Linked DNA regions of Struthio camelus. The protein of the gene in region 1 purifies or fractionates together with the protein of each later gene. This does not show direct contact. Links are inferred from orthologs where the notes say so. Each region holds a gene or a part of one and is shown in the gene's direction. Other genes may lie near its edges. The genes, in order: MAP3K7, RIPK2, CARD11 and USP18.

The links.
Region 2: the proteins of MAP3K7 (region 1) and RIPK2 purify together in Homo sapiens (affinity purification with western blotting; 4 studies listed by BioGRID). This does not show direct contact. The link is inferred for Struthio camelus from reciprocal best matches to the Homo sapiens genes MAP3K7 and RIPK2.
Region 3: the proteins of MAP3K7 (region 1) and CARD11 purify together in Homo sapiens (affinity purification with western blotting; 3 studies listed by BioGRID). This does not show direct contact. The link is inferred for Struthio camelus from reciprocal best matches to the Homo sapiens genes MAP3K7 and CARD11.
Region 4: the proteins of MAP3K7 (region 1) and USP18 purify together in Homo sapiens (affinity purification with western blotting; 4 studies listed by BioGRID, with this or other methods). This does not show direct contact. The link is inferred for Struthio camelus from reciprocal best matches to the Homo sapiens genes MAP3K7 and USP18.

The regions. Positions count from the first base shown.
Region 1 is NC_090944.1:50,781,609-50,788,612, reverse strand, and holds the start of MAP3K7 (mitogen-activated protein kinase kinase kinase 7), read left to right. Parts: upstream 1-3,999; 5' UTR 4,000-4,066; coding exon 4,067-4,156; intron 4,157-7,004. UniProt on the Homo sapiens protein: Serine/threonine kinase which acts as an essential component of the MAP kinase signal transduction pathway. Plays an important role in the cascades of cellular responses evoked by changes in the environment.
Region 2 is NC_090943.1:151,164,877-151,172,747, reverse strand, and holds the start of RIPK2 (receptor-interacting serine/threonine-protein kinase 2), read left to right. Parts: upstream 1-4,863; 5' UTR 4,864-4,972; coding exon 4,973-5,160; intron 5,161-6,635; exon of another isoform or gene 6,636-6,775; intron 6,776-7,871.
Region 3 is NC_090956.1:5,763,300-5,770,986, forward strand, and holds the start of CARD11 (caspase recruitment domain-containing protein 11), read left to right. Parts: upstream 1-4,669; 5' UTR 4,670-4,934; coding exon 4,935-4,947; intron 4,948-7,687. UniProt on the Homo sapiens protein: Adapter protein that plays a key role in adaptive immune response by transducing the activation of NF-kappa-B downstream of T-cell receptor (TCR) and B-cell receptor (BCR) engagement.
Region 4 is NC_090942.1:70,950,604-70,957,894, forward strand, and holds the start of USP18 (ubl carboxyl-terminal hydrolase 18), read left to right. Parts: upstream 1-4,288; 5' UTR 4,289-4,683; intron 4,684-5,517; exon of another isoform or gene 5,518-5,630; intron 5,631-7,291. UniProt on the Homo sapiens protein: Interferon-induced ISG15-specific protease that plays a crucial role for maintaining a proper balance of ISG15-conjugated proteins in cells. Regulates protein ISGylation by efficiently cleaving ISG15 conjugates linked via isopeptide bonds.

The DNA.
Region 1 (7,004 bases):
TGCAACAGTTTGCAATGCAGTAAAGCAAGGCAGAATTGGTGATACGATTAAGATTCATAGTCAAATTTGACACGCACAAAATGTTGCAACCTGCTCCTGAGAAATCCTAACATAAGAGCTGAAGAGACTACATGAGGAGAGTGGATTAGCTAAGAACACCACCATGCTGAACAACAGAAGAACTTTTAGTGTCATCAGAGTGATCTGTCCTCGTGAGATCCTTACACTGCACCTGGACTGGAACAAGAAGTGTGCTTCTTTCAGGTCTCTCCCGATTGGTTTTGTACGGCACACATGCTTTATGGTGTGCCATTTATTTGTCATCACCAGAGACATGCTGTGGCCTCATACTCACAAGGCAATGCACAACACAGTTCATCCACCAGTCCTTGTCACTCCAGTCATCCAGGCTAATTCCCCCCCCCCCCGTTAACTCCTGCAGATTTTCTTTGTATAGCGTGCATCCTGACACTTTCCAACACACAGGTGAGACAAGGCTAATAACTCACAATCACATCTACAGCTGTTGTAAAGGTCTTTAATCACACTTGATTCCCATGAACTGAAATGACATAGCTTCCATATTTCAGTTTCATTTATCTCTAACATTTACATGACAATATTTGAGAAAGAAAATAAAGTCAGTCTTGCCAGAAACATGAACTATTCCTGTGCCTGAAGTTAAAAATGTTATCAAAACGGAACCTATCTCATTACAGGTATGCCCGCTGTTGAGACCACCCAACACCTTCCACTACTGCGTTCCAGGATCATTTTTCTGTTGCCTAAACTTAGATGTTTTAACCAACTGAACAAAAATTGTGTACGCTACATGTCTGACACAAGGTGAAATCTTTTGAAAGCAGAAATTACTTAGCTGTTTTGCTAAATTACGTTAGCACAAAACATGCTAGTTTGCTCTTCTTAAAAAAAAAAAAAAATCTATAACGTGGAAATTTTAACAGAGCTGGAACATGAAACCTGACAGCGGGTAGCCATGAAAATACAGATGTGTTTCTCCTCATGAAAATGTGACCGAACACTAAGCTGCAAGATTCTGTAAACTTTGTTTAAATTTTAGATAAGATACTCAGATGTTAAGGCTAAGCCTCAGGTCCATTAAGCTGGCCATGTAGACTTACTTTATATTTTTTAGGAGACCTACTGCATATCTTCTGAAAAATATAGTTCTTAAACCTGGTCCACGATGACAGGAGCTGTCAAAATATCTGCTGCAGTTATTTCAGTCTTGAGCATTTACTTCTGCTCTGACCATAGTATCCTGAGACTTCACAGAATCTTTTAGTCCTTAACTTCCTTGTAATGTAATTTATTTTCAGTTAGTGATATGCAGTTGAGAAATAGAATCTGGACTTCCTAAGTTCTAGGTTTTTCTTCCAAACACAAGAGCAGCTTTTCTCCCACATAAACACAGATTGTAAGGGATGCAGTTGGAGTGTTTTTGTTTTCCTTTACCTCTCAAATGTGTTTTTTGAATACATATTTAAAATGTTCTATTTTGGGAGCGTTCAAATTATACCTAGTCCTCAGACCCAACACACAGCTAATTAAGATTGTGTCAGTCAGAAAAGAAAAAGAAGTAACCATAAAAACGGCAACATCCTTGAAACCCTATCTGATCTTCACAACAGTGACATTTTGATAATGGCAATGATTTTGCTTTCGCTAGAGAGAGAACTCATTATTTTTGAGATACATTTCTACATCAATTCCTGAAAGGAAATGAACCTTACAAACAACTATAATTGGAATGCTCTCCTCTGTGCTCTTAATTCTTATCAACAACAACAAAATACAGGTAACAGCACCACTGTTAATAGCACCACTAAAATATAGAAGACAGCAACCGCCACTTGCTTGATATATGTCTTCAAGAGGCCTGTGAAACATAACATAAAGCCAAATGTTCAGTTAATTTTACTAGAGAACACCACCTGCCACCAAAAGTACCACTACTACTAGCCATCTTTCCAAAAAACATTAACGTTCTTCACCTTCCCCAGTATATAACATACGTGCCTAAATCTAAAAAAAAGCCTGAAAATGTTAGGAACTAATTAGGAACTAACATTAGGAACTAACTAGGTCTAAATGTTAGGAATCTGTTTTCAATCTGACCTACAGTTTCCCAGTACCTCACAAATCTATATTCGTGATCTAAAAACAAATATATTGTTTCCTCAGCACCTGAAACAGTGGCAGCAGATTATACAACAGTGATGTGCTTTTCCTTTAAGAAGGAAATACCCTGAAGTCCTCAGGTCCAGGTACAAACCTGGCCACTTGTGATTCCATGTCATGGTATGGCCACGATGTGCACTAACGGTGACTTTCACGGCCACGAAATTCAACTGTACACTTGGGTATAGCAAATGTTCATTCTGAATAATCCAGAGACTACGTATTTGGGCGAAAGCCATGGCCAACATCAATATCTAAATTAAATGCAACCTCTTAGAAACTAAGGCCCCTGGATAGTCGCATTCCTGGAGCAAGCATGTATTAAGGAGATTTTGGGTTACGCGGAACTTTCCCATTTCTAACAGAAGCCTCTTTAAATCTTTCTACACTGAACAACATACGAAAAATCAAAAAGCAAGAGGAATTCAGTACGTTCAGGACACGAGTCTGCTCCCATGCACACACAGATCAGTTGCACAACGTAATCACGCTGATCCAACCTGTTCTGGAGACTAGTCTCATCTTGCATGCGATGCAGAGTCGGCTGGCATATGCACCGTGACTGTTTGTCTGGGATTTCTGGATTGCTAGACGTTTGGAAATCCTGGTCAAATTACTTAGGATGCAAGAAAAAGGCAAGCGGGCAGCAGACAACCCAAAAGGACAAGCTATCACAAAAAAAAAAAAAAAAAAAAAGCAGTAGCTCTGGCGAAAAGGGCTTTTAGTTTAGCTTTTCTAGCAACACCCGAACCACCACGACGCGAGGCTGCTGCCCGTATTCCTCCTCGATCTTTCTCCTGGTTCATTGCTGACGCAACTTCTTCAGGCCAGCTCCGTAAAGCAGCTCTCTCTCGTTTACCAGACTTGGTATGAACATTCATTAGCATTTTAGTGCAGGAAGATTTGGGAAAGCTTACCAGATCTACTAAGATTACACACTATTAATAGTATTTTATAATAACATAACATTTTATATATAGTACTGGGGCTAAACATATCGGACGGAAGCCTGACGGCGCAGCTGTTTCAGTGCAACGCAGCGGCTCTCTCCACTGCCCCCCAGCACTGACTTCGCACCACGGGTTGTCCCCAAACACCCAGCCCCGGCCCATTTAGCACCAAGACCCAGAAAGCGTCGCCCAAGCCAAACGCACAAGCAGACACGGGCACTGGGGGGTAGGGAAGGGAAGGGCCTTAAGGTGGCCCGTCCGCTCCCAAAACAACCGCTGCGGGGCAAAGACCGAGGCCCGGCTCCGCCGCCGGCCGAGGGCCGCAAGACGAAGCGGCCGCCTCGCTGCGCGCTGCTGCCCTCGGCGGGGCGGAGCGGCGCCGAGGTGGGTGTCGCTGCCGCCGGGCCACGGCCCTCGCCGCGGCGGCCTGAGTAGCAGCCGCTGCCGCAGCGCCGCCCCGCCCCGGCCCGGCCCCGGCCCGGCCCGGCCCGCCGGCAGCAGCAGCAGGAAGCGGCGCTGATGTCGGCCGCGGCGCGGCGCTGAGCGGCTCCCCCACCCCCGCCCGCCGCCGCCGCCGCCGCCGCCGCCGGGGACGCGCAGCCCGGGCGACTCGCAGAGGCCGCGGCCTAGAGCAGCCGGCGCGGGATGCGGAGCGGGGCCGCCGCTGCCGCCGGCGGGGCCGCCGCCGCCCGCCGCCGCTGAGGCCCGCGGCCGCCGCGGATGCGGCCTCGCCCCGCTCGGCGGCCCAGGAGGCGCCTCGGCCCGGCCCGGCCCGGCCCGGCCCTCGGCCAGCAGCGGGCGGGCGGGCGGGAGGCGCCGGCGCGGCGGCGCCCCGTGTAGCCCCGCGGCGCGGCCCTGCCCTGCCGCGGCGCCCGCCGGCCTGCGCCCGGCCTGCCGCGGCCGAGCCAGGAGGGATGTCTTCTGCCGCCTCCGCGGACATGATCGAAACCCCGCCCGTCCTCAACTTCGAAGAAATCGACTACAAAGAGATCGAAGTGGAAGAGGTGAGTGAGCGAGGCCCGGCCCGGCCCGGCCCGGCGGCCGCGGCGCCTCCCCGCTCACCCACCCACCGAGCCACCTGCCCGGTGTTTTTCCTTCTCCTGGCGATGCTGCAGGGGCTGCCAGGGGCGGAGGTGCCGCGGAGCCTTAGTTCGGCCACGCGGGACACGGGGGCGAGGCGGTGTAACGTGGGGTTTTACTTACTCAGGAGGCTTTAATATGGGAGCAAACGCCGTTGTCACCGGGGGGGGGGGGGGTTTAATTCTGATTTTTTTTTTTCCCTTTTGAATCACTCTTTTTGTACTCCCCTTCTTTTTCCTTCTGCCATGCACCGGGAACGGTCATAGATCTAAAACCAGCATACTGCGGTTAATTATTTTCCTGCATCTAAGGCTATGTTAGGTGAAAGGACATATAGCTTTTTTTTTTTTTTAAATATAAGCTAGCGATGTGGCAGTGGTGGGTCTGTAACGTTTCATTTGTGACCTGCACATATTACACAGGAAGTGGCATTCAGTGGTCGTGTAGCAGAGTCTGAAGAAAGTATTCCTTCCTCTTATGTGGAAAGTTTCTTTGAGGCTAGCGTTGAATGAGTAAAGTACACCATTTCTAATGTACTTCTTGGCTGTCTGGATTTCCTGTGAGGGTAGGATGGAGGTGGTCAGAGCGTATCTTGCAGCTTTGTTAAAGGGCTCTGTACCTATACATCACGGTATTTATTAACTTTGTCTACCTCACAAGGTATTCTTACCAGGTGAGGAAAAACTCAACAGCAAGGTTTGCACTGCAGTAAAGTTGTTTCCCACAGGCCCATACTGAATTTGATGAGCTCGACTTGTAGAGTGTGGACATAACGAACATCCAAGACTGCTGAAACAGTCTTTGTGCTTTTGTTCTTAGGTTAACATCTTTGTCTCCCTCAGCAATAATTAACCTCCACTTTTTAAAAAACATTGCTGGGGAAGTGAATTTAGCTTTGTGCAGTAGCATTTAGATGTACAACAACCACATTATTGAAGCAGTTTGCAACGTATTGTATTGTTTATAATTATTGTGTTGTGCTCACACGGCCTTGAAGAGTTCACAGAACATAGACTTTGTAGTATTTCTGTAGAACGCTGGAGTACTTTCTGCTTTATTCAGATGCCGTCGTGGTAACTTCAGTTTTTAGCCACAGCAGACAGGGGAAATCCTCAGAAAATAAACTCTCTTCCAAAGGAGTGCCTTTTCCCCGTTGTGTAAACATGGCATTCATGATGGTTTTTAACTCTGTAGGTCCAACTGTTCCTCTTCCCTGTATGCATTTAACTGCTTTGAAGCAAGAGAATTTTATGGTGCTCCAGAACTGAAAGTATTTTTGCATTTGAGGTATACCGACGTTTGTATAACATTTAACAATACACAAGGATCACATCACATACTTTCGGAGAAATGGCTTGCTTTACCTGAAGAAGAAAATAAAGTTCATAGGAATTTAGAGATCATAAAAAGGTGCCCAGGGATGTCTCATAAAAGTGAGTAGCACATATAATATGTTACACATTGCACTTTGAACAAATGAAACACTATACAAATTTTTAATCCTCACAACACTCTTGGGAAGGCTGTTAGCAAGGATTATATTGCCGTTTTACTTGTAGGAAATGTGGAGCCACATAGTGTGTAATTGGTGTAACTAGAGTTTATCATTCTAAGGTTTAGGTTCTAAGGTTTCACAGTGCAGAACTTGACTGTGTCCTGCATGGCCACCAAGCACCCGCAGAGACAGGAACGTATGCACAAAAGCGTACGTGTAGTTGGTGCCCAAGCCATAATTTGTGTTTTTTTAATTAGATTGTTGCTTTATCCTCAAAGTAGCTTCTCTGCTGGAGATGGCCGCTCTTATGCAATAGAAGCTGGAGAGCTGTCGATAAAGTTTTACTTCATGAGAAAATTTGGCAGCTGCTGCACCATTTTGCTCTGTGTACCTGCCCTACCAGAAATTCTTACCAGGCAATGGCGATATGATTGTACTGAACGCAATCGAAACGTCATTGCACGGAGGAGGAAATAAGATCTACTTTGCAATAAAACAGGTGAACTGGAAACCGTGCTGTACCTTGCTTTTCTTGACTGTGGGTGTTAACCTCTTACGTGCCGTGCCTTTTGCAGGCCTACCAGACGTTGTAAATGAGGACTTGCTCTGCTCTTACGGCAGACCCAGAAATTTTATTTTTGAGTGGCTGCAAGGACTGAAAATGGCCAAATTTTAATATATTTTATGACACTTAGATATTTCAAAATGGAGTGTCAACGGATCTATACTGGAAACTCAAATGAGTGCTTGTATAATCATAGCTTTGCTGTTGTATTATCAAAGCAGTCTTGTCAGCAGATAGCAGTTCCACTCTGCCACTGGTTTATTAATAGATATTGAAGTTCTGGAATACTTGCAGGCCCTGAGTCCTTGCTAATAAATTTAAGATCCATAAGTGCACTTTCGTTTTGGTTTGGCTGAGCTCTGCTGGGTAATATCATGAATCTACCATATTCTGTTTGTGCTATCATGTGCATGACTATAATACAGGAAGTAGCACTGCAGGACAGTTATAAGTCAAGCATGTCTCCAACTTCAGGCTGCCTTTTCATTATTTAAAGTAAAGGTTGAAGTAAAACATAGAGATGATTATTACCAATCAGTCAGAGTCAAATCAAAATTATGTGACACAGTGGGAGCATGTTCAAAACTAGAAGGGGAAAGACAACTTAAAACTTGGGTTCAGCGAAACGTTCCCCACTGTACCATGCAAATTTTTGGTTGCGTGAATGTCGTCTTTTAGGTTTTCGTGTATTAGACAGACAAAGCATTAGAAA
Region 2 (7,871 bases), on another chromosome or scaffold:
AGGTGATACATCCAGATAGAGCAGCTGGGAAATACTTATTGCTCCCAAAACACAGTCATAGCCTAAGTAGTTGACACAGTCTTCCAGTTTTGATAGTCTTCTGCCTACTGAGATCAAAGAGGAGCATTCAAGTGTCTCCTTTGCTCTTCATTGTAACTCCTGCTGTTACATTAAGTGTTATCAAGCCACAGTCTATGTAACAGACAAACAAACAAGGACAAAGGACCCGAGCCACGCAGTCAGTGTATACTACATTTTGGCAACTGGGTACAAAACAGAAAGATACCCTTTCTAAAGAACACGAAACAAAGAGAAACTACATTAAAAAGTAAGTATTTGGAAACATGACCCAGATTAATTTAGGGAAAAAATTACTGCTCTTGGGGCAGGAGTAAAGAAGTTGTAGAGATTACATCATAAAACCATAGCTTTTCAAAATCAGAGCATCTTGCCTTGACAAAAAAAACAAAACGTTCACCTACCTGTGCTGTTGTGGAAAGGCAGTTAACCTGGCGAATTTTAAAAACACAACTGAAATTTTGTGTGACACCCATAGAAATGAACGTACTAAAATTCGGCTGGATGGAGGGACAAGACTGCAAAAAATTACTTCAGAAACATGAGTTTATCAGTAAAGACATGCATGCAGTATGTACGCTCATCCTTACATATCTGTATAAATAGGGGAGCTGTGTATTTCAGGCCTATCTTGCAAATGGCAACAACCAGTTCCATAGCTGCATGCTCCTCAGAAAAACAAACACATAAACATTTCTGTATTTTATAGCCTCTTCTCAATATCTCTGTGAATATATCTACAGCAGAAATCTAACAGGTCTTTCCAGTTTATGCTGTCCATAGAGAAGAATGTCAGGAAAGAGATTGCACCTCAGTCTGGAAAACATGAGGAATTTTAATTATCATTTTGTTATCTTTTATACAGAGATACAAGGTGTGAAAAGCATTTTACAAGTCCACAGGTACTGAAACACAGTAGCTGCACTCCTTGATTTCACAACCTGTAAACTAAGCTCATCAATGTAACTGTTGTGCTTTCAAAATCAGTTTTGCCAAATACTTCCTAAATTCAAGAGAGAGCGATTTTTTTTCATTCATTGCACTAACAATCAAGGCATGAGGAACATCACAAAAAATGTACTGTTGCTCAGGGTCTTCACTTATCTCATTTATATGTGGACCTTCAGAAATTCCTATGTGAAGGGAAGAATCAGACCAAAGACTTCTCAATCAGAATGAAAAGGTCAATGGGGGAGTACTCATGGAGGATATGAGCAAGTGAAAAGTTGAAAGAAGAAACAACAAGTCAGCTGTTTATCTGCTACACAGTCCAAGCTTTAGTTTTATCAAAAGCTTAATTTACCTTGAGGATGCCCAAATGAGTAGGGATTCTGCCTACAGCCATATGTGAAGGACCTTGAACCTTCTCTTTTAGTACTAAGGAGTACTTTTTATTATTATGTCCATTAGAGAACAAGCAATGTCAAAGGTACAGTGTGTTGTACCAGGTCATTTATCACCTGATACAGTCAGACAGATGACATATTATAGATTACATCACCTATTCATTCAAATGTGGCAGACTAAATTAGGCAAATAAAGAAGTATTGCATAAAAAACATTAAAAGGTGATTAACAGATTAGCAGTTGTTTTTATTAGTATTCTATGCATCTTCTCTATTGCCAACTGCACATTTTCAAATCACAGTTTAATAGACCTGTTTTGCTAAAGGTCTTTGCAATAACAAGCAAAGCTGTCCTGATTTGGTCTGACAGGCAGCCCCAGGAACAGGAAGAAAAATAAATCTACTTGTACATCCCGCTCCTCATGCTCAGGCTCTGGGACCTAGATTCTGACTTTCTGATTTGTGTTCTTTCTTTATGTCAGGATTACTCAGATATAAATAATCAAGTTAATTTGACCGACCAGAAAGTCTGCTTGCTCACTGCTTTAGAACTTCCTACAGATTTAGGGAGTCTCCTCAGTGAGACTCCAAAAAACTGAAGTGGAAAATGACAATGCTTTGAGATTTAAATACGCTCAAGCTTCTTCTAGAAGAGCACTGTATCCCAATAAATACATTGCACAGGAAAGCACAAACTAGTACAGCCACAAGCAGCTTGACTAGACACTATCTCTAGCAGCGTCTGGCCCATACATCTGATCTGATCACCCTTCTCTTCTTGTAACAATCACACATTTGGGAAGTCCACCACATATTCTTCACTGACAAGAGTTATACTTCCTGTAGGAATGAAGTTTGAGGTGGCACCACTGTTGCATAAACAGATATGGGGAGTTTAACATGCGAGTGCGTAATTTCCTCAGTCCTCATTGTACTGAAGAAGTAGAAACTAATCTGAGCCTGCCATTTAGTTACTGACTACCCTTAAACCCCTTACTGATTTTTCTGGCACGTTGCTTTGCACTTATTACAGAAAGGGATCCTGCTTACTTTTAGAGACACCAAAGCGGTTTTAGGCAAAATCAGGAAGTCTGGGAACATTAAAGTTTAGATGTTTTGTATGTGATAAATAGCTGAAATAAGTCTTGTAGTAATGCAGAAAAACAGTTATGAAAGGTTTTTTCTCACAAAATAATTAAAAATGAGTGATTATAAAGAAAATCAACTACACATACTATGAGCGTAACACAAGCCTTTCAGCTATGAAGCTATGAACCAATTCACAGTTGGGAACAGAGTCAACAGGTATTGTTACACGGCCTTCCTGTATGCCACTACAGTGTGTAAACAGACTTGACTTAAAACCTTAATTATGCAGTTACTCTAAAAATCAGAATATCAAATATAATACTTTAATTGACAGTGTGTTATCTTTGACTTTTACAACCTTAACAGTTTCAGCAGAATCTCAAAGGAATATTTTAAAGCTTTGATCTGCACTGAAATTATTTTGTATTTTAGCAGCACAATTTATGCCACACACCTAGAACTATGAAACCTTAAACCAGCTATGATACCATTTAAGTTATCTGGCAGAATACCTTTCAAAATACTAAAGAAAAAAAGGGGGTTTCCAGATGCAGTAACATTTTGTTCTAATTTTCCCTTTCTAACCCCTCTTTGTCTTGGGAATTTCAAGCACCAGCTTATCTTTCCCGGAACTTGTGAGCCAGTGCGGCAGCAAAACATGCAGCTCCCCACCGTGCTATGGTGACGGAGCTCAAATCAAATGCAGAGTTCCTCTTCCCTTTCCAACCTCACGAGTAAGTCCATGTCTTCAAACTCTGGCATAATTCCTAAAGATCCAAAGCAGCAACTAACTACTTATGCCTGTTACTCGTCCTGTTTTCCTTTACTTTGATGAAAATGAAGTCAATTCTGCTTCCACTCCAGTAGCAGAAACTGATCCACTGTTGTATGAAAACAATGTCATACAGCTTGAGTTGATCCAAAACCCGTTGTTGTCAATAGAAATGGGCAGGATCTTTCAAAATAGTGGAAGACATATAAAACCTCCAAGTCACAAAAACTCTCCACATTTTATAATAAAACAAATAAGTTAAAAAGATTACAGTAATATTTTTGGCACTATTACTGCTCTGCCACTTTTAAAATCACAAACCTTTTCTTTTTTTTAGTAATTTAAAATTATAAATAAACAGGAAATCAGCAAAAACATGTGGCAGCAAGATGTGCAATTAACTTTCTGTACAGTGTCTTACAATTTTCAGTACAGGGACCTTTATAAGCCCTTAATGGGATATACCATAAATATGTCTTTACACAGTGTTTCTGTAGTACGTGCTTACCTTTGGTGTCCACCGCATCTTATTTTCTTTAGGTAAGAAAAACTTTCTTATACAACAAAGTTGAAGCAGGGTAACAAGTAACAGTACTCACATGCTAGATGGAGGGAGAGGCATATACATCGAATGGATGTGTAAACCTTGTGTGCCATAATGCCTAGAGATTACTCTGCGGCGAAACCACCTAGTGTATTTGAAGGATAGAGACTGAAATGAAAGCTGAGCGCAGAATAATTCTAGACTTCTTTATATGACTAATATAATGTTACCACTGTTGCAGCATGGGATACATATCCTCCAAAATACAAGAAAACTGGGGAAAGACAGCATAGATTTGCCACTACCTGAAGTAAAGAGGCTGGGACCGAGACGGAGGACCAGAAAAAAAAAACTGTTAGGCCTTAAAACGCCGTTGACGTATTGCACAACGCCACAGGCTGAAAATCTGGCTTCTCTCCCTCGTCCTCCGCTCCCTACCCGCTCCTGGGAGAGGAGAGGGGGGGAAACGGCCTCCAGGCGGCCCGAGGGGAGAGCTGAGGCCCGCGCCCCGCGCCCCCCGCTCCGGCCTCGGCTCGGAGGCGCCTCGCCGCGCCGCCAGGCCGGGGCTCGGCTCGGGGAGGCGCAGGGCCTCGGCACACCTCCTGCGCGGCCCCCGAGCCCAGCTATCGGCTCGCCGGGCGCATCGGCCCGGGCGCCGCCGGGCTGCCCGTTTCCTCCTTCTGGAAAACTCTCGGAATGCTCTTCTGCGGGCGGAGGGCGCTACCCTCCGACACCCGGCGCGGGGCGCCCCCGCAGGGGCGGCGCGACCTGCCCGCCCTCCTCCTCTATCGGAAAAAGTGAGGAGACACCGGGAAGTGCACGAATGAGCGGCGGCGGCGCGGGGGGCGCCGCGCACCTCCCTCCGGCCGCGGCAGGAGCCCTCTCGCCGCCCCCTCCGGGCAGCCGGGAGCCGGGCCGGGCCGGGCCGCTCTGGCTGCGGCGGGGCGGGGCGGGGCGGGGCGGACGGCGAGGACCTGGCCCCGGCCCCGGCCCCAGCCCCAGCCCCGGTCCCGGCCTCGGCGCCGGGCGCGGCGGGGTGTTGCGTCGCGCCGCGTCAGGTCGGGTCGGGTCGGGTCGGGTCGGGTCGGGTGGCGCCTCCCCCGCGGGGCCGTGGAGTCGCGCCTCCCGCGGCGCAGTGCGAGGATGAGCGGCGGGGAGGGTGGCGGCCAGGCGGGCGCCATCAGCTGCGCCCTGCCCTCCATCCCCTCCAACAAGCTGCCGGACCTGCGCTTCCTCAGCCGCGGCGCCTACGGCACCGTCTCCGCCGCTCGCCACGCCGACTGGCGGGTCCCGGTGGCCCTCAAGAGCCTGCAGGGGCCGCTGCTCGAGAGGTACCGGCGGGGGCAGGGGCCGCGGCCCCGCGTCGGCTGCTGCGAAGCGGTGGCGTTGTCCACCCGCCCACCCGTGGGCGAGCCGGGGAGGGGAGGGCCCGTGTGGCGGAGCTCTGCGAGCCGGGGGGGGCCGTGTGGCGGAGCTTCGCGAGCCGTGGCGGAGCCGGGGGGGGGCCGTGTGGCGGAGCGAGTTCCGCGAGCTGTGGCAGAGCCGGGGTGGGGGGGGTCCGTGTGGCGGAGCGAGCTCCGCGAGCCGTGGCGGAGCCGGGGTGGGGGGGGTCCGTGTGGCGGAGCGAGCTCCGCGAGCCGTGGCGGAGCCGGGGGGCGGGGGGGTCCGTGTGGCGGAGCTCCGCGGAGCCGGGGGGGGGGGTCCGTGTGGCGGAGCGAGCTCCGCGAGCCGTGGCGGAGCCGGGGGGCGGGGGGGTCCGTGTGGCGGAGCGAGCTCCGCGAGCCGTGGCGGGGGCGGGGGGGTCCGTGTGGCGGAGCGAGCTCCGCGAGCCGTGGTGGAGCCGGGGTGGGGGGGTCCGTGTGGCGGAGCTCCGCGGAGCCGGGGGGGGGGGTCCGTGTGGCGGAGCGAGCTCCGCGAGCCGTGGCGGAGCCGGGGGGCGGGGGGGTCCGTGTGGCGGAGCGAGCTCCGCGAGCCGTGGCGGAGCCGGGGGGCGGGGGGGTCCGTGTGGCGGAGCTCCGCGAGCCGTGGTGGAGCCGGGGTGGGGGGGTCCGTGTGGCGGAGCGAGCTCCGCGAGCCGTGGCGGAGCCCGGGGGGGGGTATAGAGTATATGGAATATGTAGTGTAGTGCATAGAATATATTACTGTGTGCGCTGCCGAGTGCAGGGACCCAGGATAAGCTTCTCCAAGACAAAACATAATAGATTTTTGCCCCAGATCGCAGGTACTGAGACAAGCTGGTTGGGAATGGTAGGTGTGTAGGGCTCTTGCCTACAGGTGATATCTCCCTTAAGCTCTGCAGCTCAGCCGTCGTGTTCCCCGCTCTTCTGGGCACCAGGTTGTAGCCTGTTTGCCGCAGGAGTTGTCGTCCTAAATAAGGATGCAGCAGGCTGTAGTTTTCTTCCACCTCTGCCTCCTTCACTCTCTACAGTGCCTCTTTTTTAACCAGGTCGATGCCAGTTCATCTTAGGCTGTTGAAGACTATAAACTTGCCCCTTTTTTTCTTATCTAGGTGACTTTCGCCTCCATGAACTCATTTCTTTGGATCTAGTGTTAGGTGTTCAGGCAGAATAACTTCACTGAAGTACAGATAGCCATGTCTATGTGTGCGTTTGTGTGTGTATGTGTACACCAGAGGGACAGGGGGGTGCATATACCTGCGTGTGTGTATATACATGCATGTAAAAACTTTTCAACTTTCCTCAATGTTTTTTCTTTATATTAAATTATCTGCTTCAATCCCCGCTTATCCTGAATATAGCGCTTCTCCTTTCAAATTGATTGGGAAAGAACAGTCAATAGTATTTCTAGCCTTGCCAGAATTTAGATCAGTGTGACATGAAATCCAGGAAGTTTTGACAAAGGGGGAAACTGAGGCAGTCAGAACAACTCAGCCCTCAGCCGTGGATCATGCAGAGCTCGGAAATGCTACGAGAATAACCTAAAGCTGTAAGAAATGCTGCGCCTGAGTTTTTGTGACAAGAAAATTGTCAGTGGTGTTGTAGGTAGCGTAAGAGTTTGGTCTGTAAGTGCTGTCAGGAAAAGGGAAGTTCACAGTGCAGTTAACTCCCCAAACAGGAAGCCTGCGCTGTGCATCCCAGAATTTGGTCTGTGCGACCTGCTGAGCAGCAGAGCCTGTTTGGAAGCTGTTGTGGGCTTGCACTAGCTTTGGCATTACTCAATGCTCTTCCGCTATGGAGCGGAGAAAGGTGAACTAATTTATAGATCCAGGAACAACCCTCGGTATGTTGCAACTTGTTTCCCAGTTACAGCAGAATCTCATGCAGATCTGCCTCATAGCCTGGGAAAACCCCTACTTTCTCTAAGCTAGTGTTTTTTGGAAGGAGAGAGTTACATCCCTGGCTTTCCTTGAGGCCTGCCTTTTCCCTCAGATCATTTTCTAGAGTTTCCTGTAACAGGAGGGTTTTTTTTTTTCTCCATCATGAAGATGTTTTGCTTTCTATTTCCTACATATTGAAAGCAATTTCACATACCTCTAAATTTTAAATTCTTCTGTCATAAAAGCAGCAAGCTTTAGTTTTCTAGGCTTCCTTTTTTCCCCCATGTACTCTGAAGGCCTTCTGATTGTGAGGGCTAGGTCTGCACTGACGGGTCCAGACAGACTTGAACTCTTCTGTCGATCCAGCGCAGGGCACAGACTAAAGCCAGCTCTCATCTGGGAGCGGTATGGCCGTATTAATATGGCAGTGCACTGAGCAAATCTTGATCGGCGTTGACTGTTAGCCTGTGTGCAGCCCTGCACACCTGATGGCTTCTGAATCAGGCTGCCTGGTCAGTCTTAGATGGGCTGCAATAGTCCAGCATTTGGATATCCCAGTCATGCACTTGTATCTGTACCAGGCTCCACTGATGTAAAAGCTAAATCTTTTTTTCTTAGAATTATCTTTCTTAGTCCGAGTATCCTCAGTATTAATAACCTGTTTGTTCAAGAACTTTTGAGACATAAAACGTGTCAAAAAATTGTCTTCGTTATTCTTAGGAACAGAAGTGTACTCTTACTTTGTTTTAAATAAAATTTCAGCTG
Region 3 (7,687 bases), on another chromosome or scaffold:
GCGGTGTGTCACTTTTTAAGATCAAGGGGCATTTTTGATGATAATGTCTAAAAAAGGCAGATGAACACTAACAGCTGCTTATCCACAGGCTGGTGAACTGAATAGGGAAAAACTGTTCTGGAAGTCAGATCTCCAGAGAGAAATGAAAAATTATGAGCATCTGTAAGTAAGAGTGATAGTCTCTAAGGATAGTTGAGCATGGTTGATAATATAAAATATGTAAAACGTGGAAAATATTTAATGCTTCTGTTTCTTTGCTCTGAAGAGCTGGAAGGGTTGTGTTAACAATATATACGGCGCTACTGAGCTTAGACATCCAGGAGAAATGCAGTATATTAATTCTCAGATCACTAGTTTGTGAAATGCGTTTCTGGTATCCAGAGGTTTGCAGGACTGTTACACTGATAAGGAGTCAAGGGCAGTCTCTTCATGGGCTGGGATTGCTCTCTTGGGGGAGAAAGGAATGGAAGCAGAGGAACAGCAGATTAAGAGCTGGACAGTTTAGTGTTTCTCTGCTTCCAGCTGCTGATTTTTTTCAGCTCTCCAGCTCCAACTATTTAAAGATATCTAGCAGTTTCATTTCTGAGTTATGGCCTACCATTCCGATCAACCACCTTTGCTGAAAGATGTTCTACAGGCAGTCATGGTGTACATGGAACATCTTCTACTGGATAAACACATTTAATGTAATGCCTATGGCACAGTCAGAAGGAGAATCTTTCGCTATAGATATAACATAACAACGTTATGGTCTGGAAGTAGCTAGGAGCAAAATACTTAAGAGGCCAGCAACATTGTAAAGGAACTTCTAAGATGATAAGTCTTCTCTGCAGTTTCATCACTCTAATAGAATGCATAATGTAATCTTGAAATTGTGCGGGCTTTTTATGCAAGGATTTCAAAGTAAAAGCCTGGAGGATGGAAAGGTACAGCAGTGTACAGCAGCATAAAAAGGCTTACAGTACACTTGTTATTCAAGTTTTACCATCAAGGCTCAGATCATGCAGAATTAGAACAATTAGAGCAATTGGAAGAAACTAAAAATGCTCTCCTTTCCTGAAGTCTCTTTGAAAGACAGTGACAGCAAATATACCACATGTGTCCCACCAGTTGAATTTCCATGTGAGGGGTAGTTCCCTTGCAGGCAGAGGTTCAATTTATTGTTTCCTGCACCATGCATATAGAAAGGAGACTGAGAAACTGTACGAAAAAAGTATATTGGTACCCCTTAACCTGGGCAGCCAGCTGAATTAAAAGTTCTGGTGGATTTTAGTTACACAAAGAAATAGACGACGGAGCCAGGTATCTCTTTGAGGCAATTCTGCTTACTTACAAAAAAAGAAAAATTTCCTGCTTCCCAGAATTGAATGGGAGTAAAATAACAAAAGACAGTTTAATCATACTTCTAGTATTTTTTTTTCAGCCAGACAGTTCAGCAAAGCTCTTTCTGTTCTTTTTCTCAATATCATGTTTCTAGTGCTCGTTTTAGATGTATTCCCAGTTTTCAACTCTTAATATATCTATTTCTGGATTGTTTCTTGTTGCTGCTCTCTGAAAGATATGTAGCTCTACCAGACAAGGTCCTAGCCCCCACATTTGCATCAGGAAACCGACTGATTCAAATTCTGCAGCAATTTGCCATATTCTTGTATTTTAGGTGGATCATCTGGATTTTCTTGAATTTTCTGGTTGCCTGACAGAACATAATTGTTTTCTTCACTTTTGATGTATCTACTGATGTGTGAAACACATCACCTCAGTCTACCAGCTTCAAGGAACTATAACCTAAATCATAACATTTTTATGTCTTGAGAGAGTTTTTAAAAACTGAAACCTAGCATTAAGATTATAAATTCTTATAAAAAAGATAGAAACTGAGTTATGTGTAACTTTTTGACTGATGACTGGGTCACAACTGGATAATCTCAGTTTACCAGGGAAGTCTTTAGGAGTAGGACAGTTTTAGGTCTTTTGAGTTTCAGTGAAAGGTTGTTCAAGCCTCATTGGATAATTGCTTTGTCTCTAAGGCTTCACTCTGGGCCCAGGGAAATCTGTGATCTTTAGAACAGGTATTGTACCTTTTGAAAGCTGTTTATAATCTACAGCATTAAGCAGAACAAAAGCAGAAAGAGCAACAGCTACTACCTAATTCCTTGCTTGACTCTGGAGGGCAGTTTTATAGTCTACTGGCTGATATTTTCCCATTTGCTGAAGAACTCAAGGACAGAAGGGAAAACCTAAAACAGGGACTTGGTGAGTTTTGACTTGAATTTCTAGCACATTCTTCCTTTCAGATTAGGAACTGTAGCTTGGTCTGTGCGTGGAAGATCTGTGGTTTTTAAATGGAAGTGAAGCTACAAAGCCTCCTGTCAGCAGAGCTAATTGCTCCGGTTGTGCTGCGAATGGTTCCTCAGTTGCATGCACAAATCAGCTTCCTCTATGAAAGCAGTAGAAAGCTGGGATAAGAAATAACTTATATCACTTTTGATGAAATAATTGTAGGCCACAATTCTTATATCAGTATTTCACTGTTTTTCTGCAAGGTATGGTTTTTCCCCAGTTGCGCTGGTCCTGTGTCAAAAACTGCAGATCCTCATCCATGTAGTTGTCACATGGATAAATTTCTGGCTGCTCAAAGCAGGAAGCTTTCCTTGCCCTTATCACATGCAGTGCACAGGTTTGTTCACAGGTGAATTCTGATAGAGTTGCACAAGAATATAAGTAGCACATAACAGTGTAGTCCTGATTAGGGGGGGAAAAAAAAACCCAGAAAGGGGATAACAGGTTCTCCTATTGCCCAGCAGAGACTAGGAGAGAGAAATTCCTGCCTTCCTTAGTTTTTGAGCTCTTGATTTAGAGAAACAGAATGCCCTTCAGAATCCTTTTCAGTGTCATCCTTAGAGCATCCTTAGGTCCCTTATCAATCCAAGAACAGGTGCAAACACAGGAAATCAGAGGGACCATAAGGGAAAATTAGAGCTGGGATTCCTCACACATTTTGCTCCCCTAGTAGATATATTCTGCCTTCTCCCAGCCTTCATGGGATTCAAGCTTTCAGTTCAGTAAGAACACTTTTAAGTGTTTCTGTAATAACACTTTGAGCCATGTATTTTCTCCCTGACATTTCTTCTTTTCACTATCATCTCACTTCCTCCATTATTTTCTTTGATGCTGCTGTATGTTTTGATAGTGTTTCCACTGTTCTTTTATACTTACTTTCCATTCGTTGTGTTTTCCTTTGTTCTCTAGCAACTATTTTTAACTTTCTTTTTCTCTCACTCCATTACCATCATCGTGCCTCTTCCCTTCTCACATTCCTCAGTTCTTTGAATCATTTCTCAAGTATGCTTATCATTCCTAGTCTTTATGCATTTTCTTCTCTAGTAGTTTTCCATATGAGATAAGTACACATACATGTGTGTGTATACGTGTGTATATACATGTGCATACATGGCTGCTTTCTTCCAACCACAGAGAGTCAGCCTCACATGCACACATCCCTGTGGATGCACATGTGACTCCTCAAGGGTTCTTCTGACTTCTCACACATTCAGGACCTATTATTGACTCTGGCGAGGCTTCACTTGAAGCCTCACCTCAGTCCACTCAGTGTGAAGGGCAAAACCTAGGGAGTAACTGGGAGAAGAGCAGTATCTGTGCTTTGTTTTCCTCTTGAGGGTGAACAGGCAATAGCAGAAGAAGAACCAGCAAGTGTGGCAGGTGCATCATGAGAGATTTGGGCCGAGGATCCCTGTGCAAGATGGCAGCAGCATTAAAGGTTGCTAGTGGTGGTGGTAAATACTGATCCAGCACGACTAGGAAACAGTAAGGGAAAGGACTGGTTTACTTTGCTCCCACTGGCTTGCCCGTGGTGGGAAGCTCTTATTTGTGACCTAGCAGGTAAATGTCCTCAGTGAGACCTACCAGTGTGTGGCCTGGAGGCCAGAGTCCAGCATTAAAGCTATACCAGATCTTAGAGTCCAAGATACTGCAGCTTATTTATGCCAATGAGGAGTCCACCCCCTTTGTAAAGTACATTGTTTAAAGTATCATGCAACTGTAAAATAATATTTATATGAAGTAAATCTTGTTGACTTCCCTTTCAACAACAACAGCAGCTGTTAATCAAATACATGTTTCCTCAAAAAGTCTTTGAAACCTTGGGAAACCCCAAAACCCCTTCTGCCTGAAACTGCTGTTCTTGAAACTGTCTCCTGTTCAGAGCACGGTCCTTTCTTTCTTTCTTCTTGCCCTCTCTCCAGCCAGCATGTGCAATGAGAAGCAAGGGCTGCTGCTTTGCGAGCAGCATAGCGGCCCTAAAGCTGGCATTCAACATGTCCCTTTGTGCCTGAGGGAAACATACTCTAAAAGCCTGAGGAACTAGAAGTAAGGGCAAGGACATAACCTCTTTTTTCTCTCTGAGCCAGTTTTTTGTGCTTGTGCTGCTGCTGACTTTGCCCTCTGCTCTTTCTGGGGAAGGGGCAGAAGCGCCTATTTATTTTCTTGCGGTGGTACTTCAGGGCTCTGCTATCACCTGCAAGCAGAGTCATTTGCAAACAGGCTGTATCGCTGGGGAGCAGAAATGTGTTTTTTTTAAACCTTAAGCAGATTTATAGTCTGGTTTCCTGTCAGATCTTTGCATTTTCCTTCCCCGCCCCTCCCAGGCTCTGACACACTTTTTCTTACTTTCTGTGTCGCTCTTTGCTCATTCTGACACCGGGGCGCTTGCATCCTTTATTCCTGATTCTTCCTAAACTTTTGGCACTTCAGAGGCAAAGGGAGTGTCTTGCTTTTTGTATTTCCTTTACTTTTCAACAGCTTCAGAGCACAGATAACCTCTCCAGGACTGCTGGAGAGAGACAGTGACAATTGCATGGAGGCGACGTAGGGAGTTTCAGCCTGCAGCAGCTGCAGCAAGGCAGCCCCGGTCACTCATGAGCACCCAAGGTAAGGAAAGCAGCTATCAAATCAGCTCCACCTTACTGCTGGTTAGGATAGCACCTGATTCTAATCATACCGGTTCCCCTTTCACCTTTCACTTTTTTTGTGTTCATTTTCAAGAGCACGTTTCTTTGAGAATGGTTATGTTAGCTCCTTCCTTGCACTCAACAGGTCTAATTGTACCTTGCACGCACAAATATTTAGAGCGCGGGGTTCAGTGAAGCAAACAGGCTGTAGCTGAAGGTGCACATATGTTTGCAAATAAAGTGTGCACTGGGAAGGAGAATGGAAATGGAGGTCTGGAGAGGGGAGATGAAAGGACTAATTGTGAGCAGTGGCCTCTAGGGAATTTCTGTTTCTACCCATGGTATGTTGTGCTCTACCTTTACTTTAAATCTCTTCACTGGGCATTTATGCTTTCTATCAAATAACAAAATCTTTCTCCTTTGTTTTTTTTTTCTCTTTGAATTTGTTCTTCTCACTTCCTTTAGTCTTCTCTCAACCCTGATGTATCTCTTACTGACTTTTCCACCATCTTTTTATGTCTATTTTTCATCAAGCATAATTCTGTATAACAAATGTTCCTCTTGCCCCTTTCTTTGCCTTCCCTCCCCCTCCTCTTTTTTGCCTGTGCAATAGACTGTACATCCTGCCCCATGTTCTTAATCTTTCTCTCCTTCCACCCTGTCATTTCCTTCTTCTCTGTCTTGTGTTCCCCTTTCCCATTGCTCCTCTGGCTTCTCACACGCACTACTTCCTGCCCCATCTCCTTTCTCGTGCACACAGCGTACATTGCTGCCCCGCAAAGTTAATTTTGCACACACAGTGGTGTTGTCTCTCTGCTGAATTGTCCTTGCACACACATGCTGCTTTCCTGTCTACCCTTTCTCTCTTGTACGCATGCAGGATTTGCTAAACAAGTTCCCATCCCAAAATACCAGACTCTTATACTTGCACAGCTTCCTTCCAATTCTCACACTCATATCTGGTCATTCACAACAAATAACCCCTGTCGTTCTGACTCTGTTTCTTTCTGTCTCATGAACAGAATTTTCTAACACCTCTAACACACCATAGCTTCCTTTCTACTTATAAATACAGCCATCTCTGACATAGTTCTTTCTATCGCTCCTCTTTCTGTCATCTCGCTCCTCCTTAAGTCCTTACCCCAATCTTTCAGCAGGTTTCTCCATCTCTTTTTGTCTTGATGTTGACTTCATATTGGAAGGAGCCACTGGTCTTAGTCTCTGCTGTCTTAGCATCCCCCCTGAGTACCTGCAGGGGAACTGGAGGAAGTGTTGCAGTCTTTCAGCTTCTCTTTCCTTCGCAGAATATGCAAGCTGCAGCAGAGTAAGAGCATAAGAGTGGGAGTGAGTGTGGATAGAGAAATGGGAGAGCACAATCCAAAATGTTTTTTGAAAATTGTAAAAATGGTTCTAGAGGAGATACTTTCTTCTAAGTGATTATAAGCCATTTTACTAGCCTAAATAAAGCCGCAGTCTGCCTGCCCCAATGCCGAACTTCTGCTCTGACACTGAGGTAGTTTTTGTCCTGCTGATTTGAAACTCCCTTGGAGTTTCAAATCTCAGAGGTAGAGGTTCTCTACAGTAATACTATGGTGGGAGTAACTTTGCTCCTAGGATCTGGAAACAGCTCATTTCTTCTATACTAGATATATTAGTGAGTCTCAAAGATCAAACATGGCTAAAAATTGCATCCAAGAACAATAGCTGGTATTATTGCCTGTTTAAGTTTGTAAGCTTTGAACCAGATACAGCAAAGAAATAAGTTTCTTTGATGAAGCCTTTTTGCCTCACATTCTGAAGCAGGACTATTGGGACTGAAGATTTATTTCTAAGAATGTTCTGATGTGGGCTTTTGAGGACTGAATAAGGATCACTTATTAAACTCAGTCGAATTAATAAGAGAATTATTATGTAGGCGAATTCTGTTAACAATCTACCCCATCCATCTTCTTAAAAATTGTTCATCTCCTTATGGGTGAAAGAAGCCTAAATTTTATGTTTGCAATTATAATATATCCTTTCTGATTCAGAGCTATCAAACTGTGGCCTTTGAGCTATGAACATTCTCTTCTGAATGCAGAAGCAGCTACATCATAATATCTTTGTCTTCTGGATCTTGTGAAAAGTCCACAAACCTAGAATGACAAAATAAAAGAGATGTTCATTTTATTCATACAGATCTAATATGACTCTTTCCTACTCTGTTACAACTCATCCTGTGATATGAAAAGTTCTTGTGTTTCTTTTAGTCATTCTGCAAAACTTGTATGATGATCTTGTGCTTTGTTTTTACAGTATTCTGTGCCCCCAGAACTGTCCCTGTTCTGATGCCTTGGTATGTCCCAAAAACAAACTGGCTGAGACAACTTCCCTCTCTTTTTCTCTCTCACTCTTTTTTTTTTTTTTTTCTCCATCCTCGTAATTTGCCACAGGTTGAGTTAAAAATTGTTGAAGCTGGGTTGTGGCAGTTGCAAGGGGACAAGGAGCCAGAGATAAATTCTTTTCACTCTAGTACCTTGGGTCTAGAGAGAGATTTCAGCTAGAAAGAACATGAACACCTTCCATCCTACCAAGCAAATTCCTGTACTGGGAGGTGCTCCCCCAGAAAAGAGATTCAGAACCTCATGTTAACTCCCTGTTCATATGCAGAGAGTTCCTTCCAAATAGATTTAGCTCTGAATTAAGAGAAAAATAAACTTTCAACATTCATGAGAAGAGAA
Region 4 (7,291 bases), on another chromosome or scaffold:
AATATTCATTCAAAGATAATTCAAAGTAGTGAGCAAAGTTCAGGGATTTACAGGATTCACAGCCTGCTAGGCAACGACAACCATTCTTGCCTAGAAAATCCCTCAGCAACCTTTTATCTAGATCTTCTTCAGGTGGAGTTTCCATCTCTGTTGGCAATACAACGTCCATACAGCCACGTTCCCAATACAACATCACATTCAACTTGTATACTCTGTATGTATTATATGCATTTAATTATCCAGATCAGTAAAATACTAAACTATGTATTTATGGAGTACCTGAAATGCCTCCGCTTAGGAAAACATCCCTATTCGAGACACACTTGATTATGTATTTCAGTGGAAGCAGTATGAATAAGCATTATTCAGTCCAGTGGGATTTAGGGTCTTAAACAGGTTCCCTTACAGTTCTGTCCTGAATTGCAACCAAAACCAATAAAAAGAGGAAATTTCATACATGAAACACAGTTAAACTAAAAGAACTTGTGACAAATCTTAACCGGTTCACCTATCTTGAGATTTAAACTTCTAAACCTTCTCTAGGTCTGCATGAATAAATTTTACAAAAAGATACATAAACAAAGAAGCGACAAAAAATGGCAGGTTAAGTGCTTGCTCTGTTCTTTGGCAAATTGCTGAAAGAGATGCAATGAAGAAGTAAAGTTATTGATCCAGTGTGGAGTACTTTATGGGTTCTGAATCACTGGGAGTGCAGTGCCTAACTCACTGGATGTTTGAAATGTCGCTCTGATCATTAATGTTATGGTTTATTTTATTTGAAAGGATATTTAGGAATCAGAGTCCCAAATCTCGCAGTAGTCAATTCACTCTTTGGAATGATTTGGAGATAACTTTAGAAGGGCTGCGGTTGTTATTAGAAGCTAGCAGCTTTTGTCAAAAGTGACCCCTGGATGCTTAGCAGACAGTGCATTTGGACCCAAACACTGAATCTTTCCCTTTTAGACATCCCTTTATCTGAGCACACTTCCTGGGCTTAGACTTCTGCGTGGGATGTCACAGCTGATTTCTACAGGCATCCAAAACCACTCTTTATTGTGTTATCCCTTTTTGAGAACAGCTTTGTCTGGCTTTGGACATGGTCTGCTTTCTGCTGCTACTCTGGGTCACAACCACCTCTTCAGCACGGGTTCTCTGAATTCTCTTCTCTGTTCATTATTGCCTTATCCAGTCCTCATAGCTTTGGCCCCCATTGGCTCTGCTTCAGAAGAGAGTCTGAACTCAGAACTCCACTGCCTCAGTCTTTTTCCTGAGGATGTTTGCATATTCTTAAGTGGATATATTAAACCAATTTGAAGAAAATGGAAGATTGGGATGTTATTTTAGGCACACAAGAGTAGCTTTAAAACCAGTTGCACAATGCTAATGTTATTAACTCACTGCAAATGGAGCTTCTGTGCCTAATGGAAGTGATATGGTTTATTGCCTGCTTTTAGAAAACAATGGAAACTAGCCACGCAACAGTAAAGCCTTACAGTATTCTTACAGAACCATATGGTCTTCTTAATCTAGTATTCTAGATTAAGAATCTAGAATATCTAATCTAGTATTCTAGATTAAGAATCACCTGTGTCACAGGCGACATTTCCAAAAGCTACCTCAGCTACACACTGCTTCACTAGATTCCACAAACCTGTCAGACTTAGCTTCTATTTAATCTTCAGTGCCAATCTGCACTCTGCTCAGCTGGTTTGACAGCTTCTAGGCAACTCATGGCTTAGCAGTTCTTTTTTTAACTGTTCTTCACTTCTATCAGGCAGATACCGTACAAGCTAGCCATCGAGAGGGAACTTTACATCACTAAATCTAAGTGGTTGCCCTGAAGCTCTGCCAGAGATAAGCCTAACCTCAGGAAAGATGCCAAGTTATTTGAGCTCACCTGCTCATGAGCCTCTGCAGATATCCACATTCGTCCAGGCTGACAGTCCAGGAAGGTTTTTGCTGCCACTGCTGCTGCCTTAGCTGAAGAGCGCTGGCTGCCAAGCAACTGCATTGCCTCCAACAGAGCTCTACATAACCCACCCGGAAGGGATGGCACTGGGACCTTTTCTGCGAAGACTGCAACAATAACAGCTCTGATGGGCTCCAGAGAGTCCCTCTGAAAGTCTCATCGGTTTCCTTCCCATGTTCAGTGAAACAGGGTGGGGGCTGCACAGATGTCCCTGACACAGGACAGGGAGTACACGCTATTCTGGCCAGTCATAATATGCTAGTATAACCCCTCCTGTAGAAGCAGCAGCCAAAGCGTTCTGACAAAGTATATATGACAAAGGAGAGGCAGTAAACATCCCTTACTACCATCGTCAGGGTTGCCTTCATCCTCGAAATCCTCCTCTGAACCCTAACTCTACCTTCCCTCATAATCAAAGGTCTGGCTCTTTAGTTCAAGGTGTTAGGGGCACAAACAGTATGCTAATAATAAGAATATATACGACACAAGGCTTTGAAAAAGCATTTTTGCTGCAGAAATTTTATAAAAGGACACCCACATTCAACTCCTACATTCCCTCTATAACTACTAAATGTCTATAAGATACGAGACACAGCCTGCAAGTTTGGGCTATGTAAGCTGTGGTTTTCCTCCCGACATACATTTTTCTGTAACATCCACAGAATTTAATAATAGCTGAAGGCACAGCACAGGTGAAATTCAGTTTGTCAGCAGCTCACAGAAGGGGCTTTTCTGAGGGGTAGAAGGGCACTCCAAAGACACCAGTGAGGTTGCAGGAAGCAAGGAAAGGGAGACAGGAAAAGCCATCAGGAACTCCAGATGGCCCGTGAAAGGAAGCAAAGTCTTTCCCCCACAAACCTCTCATGCACCATCAACCCAATCTTACAGGCAGAGAGAGCAAGGAAGAGGATGGTGAAGACGACAGTGATGGAAGGTAATGGAAGGACCTGTCCCCTAGGGACCTCCTGGTGGCAGCTGCAGGGAGAGGAAGTGCTGCTTCTGACTCAGTTGGAGCTCCTGGATAAATGCAGGAGGCAGCTGTGCCCTGCCAAATCACACAGGGACCTCTCTTCACCTGGGTGCCAGAGATTCAACCCACTTTACATACATAGCAGGACTCCCTACTTCCCTAAGCCATTCCCCAGCCAGCAGCACTCTGCAGGGGAGCAGGGACCAGGGCAGCATTGCTCACCTAAAGCATTTCCCACCTTCTCAGGAGCAAAGCTGGGCCCATGGCCATTCTCCAAAAAGCAGCATTCCCTTAAAGGGTGCTGCTGCCCTCCGTTCCTCCTCCTGATGCCCAGGAGCAACAGGAAGGGGAAAGTCTGGAAACCTGACACACGCACAGGGTGAGTGGCCACCTAACACACTTTTACGCTTCAGGAGGCACTTGACTTGCTGAGGCCAGAAATCACACAGCCCTGGCTGCTGTGGAGCTACATGGCGGGGGTATTTGTCCATCACTGTACAGTCATTCGTATATCCTGCTGCAGATGGCATTTTGAAACCCCACCATCAAGGATGGACGGAATTGATTAGAAGTCTAATCTACCAAGTGACTTTTTCTTTTGAAATTTGTAGGCCACTTATTTATTTTGGATTATTTCAAGTGACCTACTTCTAACTAGGTTGCTGTAATTATGAAAAAAGTCTTTTTTTTTAATGCTGAAAGTAACAAATGTCATGACTAACAAATGCATGGTCAAGAACACGCATGGTTTTGCATGATCAAGAACAAACATTAAGGTCCTGGCAGAGCCAGTATGTTGAAGTAATGAAATCATCTGAGAAAAGCTTTTTTTCTTTTTTTCTTTTTTCCTCCTTCCTCTCCTCTCCTACGGAGCCTAATTTCTCACTTCTCCATTTAAATCTCACTTTTGCTTCCGGCAAAGAGAAAACCGACCAGACCCGGCTGCGATATGCCAGGGAGGGGCGTGGCGGGGAACGCACCCTGCGAGCCCCTTATCTAGGCGACCGTTGGGCGCGACCGTTGGGCAGCGGCGGGAAGCCTTGGCGGGGCCCAACGGCCGAGCCGAGCCTCTACCTGCCGAGCGGGCGCCCCTCAAGCCCGGCACCTGCGCAGCTCCTCCCAGGCCTTTGGCCACCTTCCTGCGACAGCCCTTTACAGACAGGGGCATCTACCAGCTCGGCTTGTGGTTTTCCCCTCCTTCTCGGCCCGGTGCGAGCGCTTTACCTCTTCGGTTCTTGCAGCCGCGAGGCGCCGCGCCACCATGTCGCGCGCCGGCCGCGCTCAGCCCCGCTCGCTCGCCGCGGCCATGGACCGGGGAGACGTGAGGCGGCGGCTCGGCTCGGCTCGGCTCCCCCCAGCGGCGGCGGCGGCGGAGGGAGAGGCGGGCGGCGCTGCCCAGGCCCAGCCCGGCGTAGTTTCACTTTCTATGCCTCCCGCTCTGCGGAGTGGGAAATCAAAACTACGCGGCGAAGTGGGCGCTGCTGCCTTCTGACGCAGCCGGCAAGAAACGCCGCGGAGCTTGGGACCGCACTCGGGCGAGGAGCGTGGCCGCGGCGGCAGGCTGCCCGCTGGCTCCCCGCCTCCTCGCTGCGCAGGAGAGCGCCGGGCGGCGGCGGCGGCGCCGAGCCTGCCTGGCTGCGGAGGGTCTGTTCGCGCTTGCGGTGGCCACCTCGGGGTCTGCCGGGGCTTCAGGCGTTCGTGGTCCTCCGGGAGTGTGTGAGAAGCCCTGTCGACGGACCGTCAGGTAATAGGGGCCACATCGTGCCATTAAAATACCTACTTGCGCAGTGTCCTCCGAGCTGTTGTATCGCATTGGTTTGGTGATTCGTGTTTCTCCTAGCTGGTGAAAGTGACTCTCGTTTTGAGCGGATGGAATCCGATGGGTTGTTGGACGCTGCAATCTAGGGAGTGGAAATAATTCGTGACTTTAGTGGTTGAAGTGGTCTTTTGTCTGTTTAAACAGAATTATCCTGTAATGAAAAGGAGGAAAAAAAAAAGGAGAGGAGGGAGAAAAATTGGGGCTGAACTAACACGTACTTCACCAGAAAACTTAAAATCCTCGTTCCGAGGAGGAAAGCACGGAGGTGAAAGGCTAGAGCACTGCCTGCCAGCTTACACTGCAGAGTCAGTCTCTTAGGGAAGAGCCTCAGGGCTGCCATTTCTTCTCCTCCTGGTCTCTGGGTCACTCTTTTTTGTCCTACCTCCCGTCCCAGCACAGTCATCTCCACGGCCTGGACCTCGACCTCAACATGATGGCGGGGTTTAAAAAGAAGTGATGGTGGTGGGAAAGAATGGTGGCCACTGGGTGGCCAGGGGCATCAGGGACTGCCAAGCGCCTGGGCTGCTGCGTAGCTGGGGTGACATTAAGGCTGAGGGGGGCCGCGATACATGAGCGTGAAGGGACCAAGGGGATTTGTCGCTAGAGTCTGGTCTCCTGGGATGACATAAGGGCTGTGGAGCAGAGCCCTAGTAGGAGGGAGTGCCCTGGGCTTGGAGGGAGGAGGGTAGGTGAGAAGGCTGGTTGCTTAGAAGACGTAGGATATGATGGAGGAACTACTGCTACCCTTTCTTTGCCTAGAGTTAGCGTGTAGCTTGGCCGAGGCAGCAGCACTGAGTCATGTCGCTAATCAGCAAAGGAAACTGAGGAGGGACTCTGCTCTTTCAGTGCTCTCCTGAGAGGATAAGTCAGTGGTAAGAGGGCAGCCTACTCCTCCCTTCTTATGCTCACTCACCTGTTTGTTTATACATTTATGCTGGGTAAAGGAAGGTCAAGTGCAAATCTTAAAAATACTGTGTTTTTTCTGACCAAAATGAGGCAGTTCCGTGCAAGGGTTAGAAAGTTCTAGTCATGTCCTGCTCCTAAACCAGAGTTCCTGTTAGCTCACTGCCTGGGTGTGTGGAGGAGAGTTTCATCAAGCCAGAGACCCCAGATTCTCTCACCTCTGCATCCCTCTGAACCTCCCAGCCCTAATGTCTTTCTACCCAAGTTTCCCAAGTCACCCAAAGCCTCTTAGCCCTGCACTCGCTCATGCATCCCACCCTTAATCCTACCTCTCCTGCCGAAGCCTCTCTCTTCCAAGTTTTCCTCATCCCCAGCACGTTCATAGCTGCTGTTTAGCTATTCCTGCTCTGCCCTTCTGTCCCTCTCTTTTCTGTTTCCTCCAGTATCCCCACCAGCTGTGAGCGTTACTGCCACCCTTTTGCTGACATTACACCAACTAAACCCACTAGCTCTTGCCATGCAAGCAAAGGTCGGCTCCTGCTATGGCTGAACTATCAGTAACTTGAAGGCCTGGGTAAATCACTTTTTGGGAAAGAAGCAGTATCAGGCTCTTGCAATATTTTGCAGAAGGGGAAATCAAACCCAGTTTCCACTTTCTTGAGTTGCTGTTCTGATCACTGGTCTTGAACGTAAAAAGCGATGCTCTTGAAACTAGCTCTGAATGATACAGTTTCTTTTTTTCCCCCCTCCCAGATAAAACTCAGCAAATTCAACAATATTTAGTGAATCTGAGTGTATCAAACAGGTCTGAGTTCAAAAGTAGTCTTGATAAAGTACAGTTGGAGACAAGTATACTTAAGGTCAAAATTATTAATTGCAAAAACCCATTAATTTCTAGTTTTTTGATAAATTCCTCAGAAATTCTGAAATGTAACATTACTAGGCACAGTTAACCTGGAAAAAATATGCTTTTAAAGCAAATAATTTCTTTTCATGAAAGGTTTCTGCCGGGTTTTTTTGCTTATTTCCTAGTGACTTTCCTTCATTCTTTCAGTATTTGGAATGGCCTCAGGTTCCTTTTAAAAGCTGTTCAATATTTTTAAAATATAAATTCCTCACCATATTTTTTGTTTTTTTTTTTGGTTTCCCCTCCCGTGAATGTTTTCCTAAAGATATCCTTCTTTTCTGATTCTGTTTCCCTGTTGAAGGTGGACTTTCAAAAACCCTCCCTTTTTATTTAATTGCATTCTAACATTTGTCTTGTGTTTTTGCTTCCATATATTACTTTTTTTTTTTCTTTAAAGAGCCAGTAGTTGAATCCTAAGAGGCTGTAATGAAGTAATGGTCCTTTCAGCACTCCCCTTAAAATCAAGGAGTTTAATGGTTCCCTTCTTAAACAGTCCCTTTGCCTGTGATTATTTGAAGGAGCTTATACAGGAAATGACATTCAAGTTCTTAGCCTCCTTACATTTATAGATCAGAATCCAAAATACCACAGTAGAGCTGTAATTAAAGTGTTTAAAACAACGCAGAGAGCCCAACCAGAAAACAAATAAACACTTATCGGTTTGAAAGGTCTGAGAAGGTGAAATTTGCCCTTTTGAATATTTAAGCTGCTTTGGGTTATAAA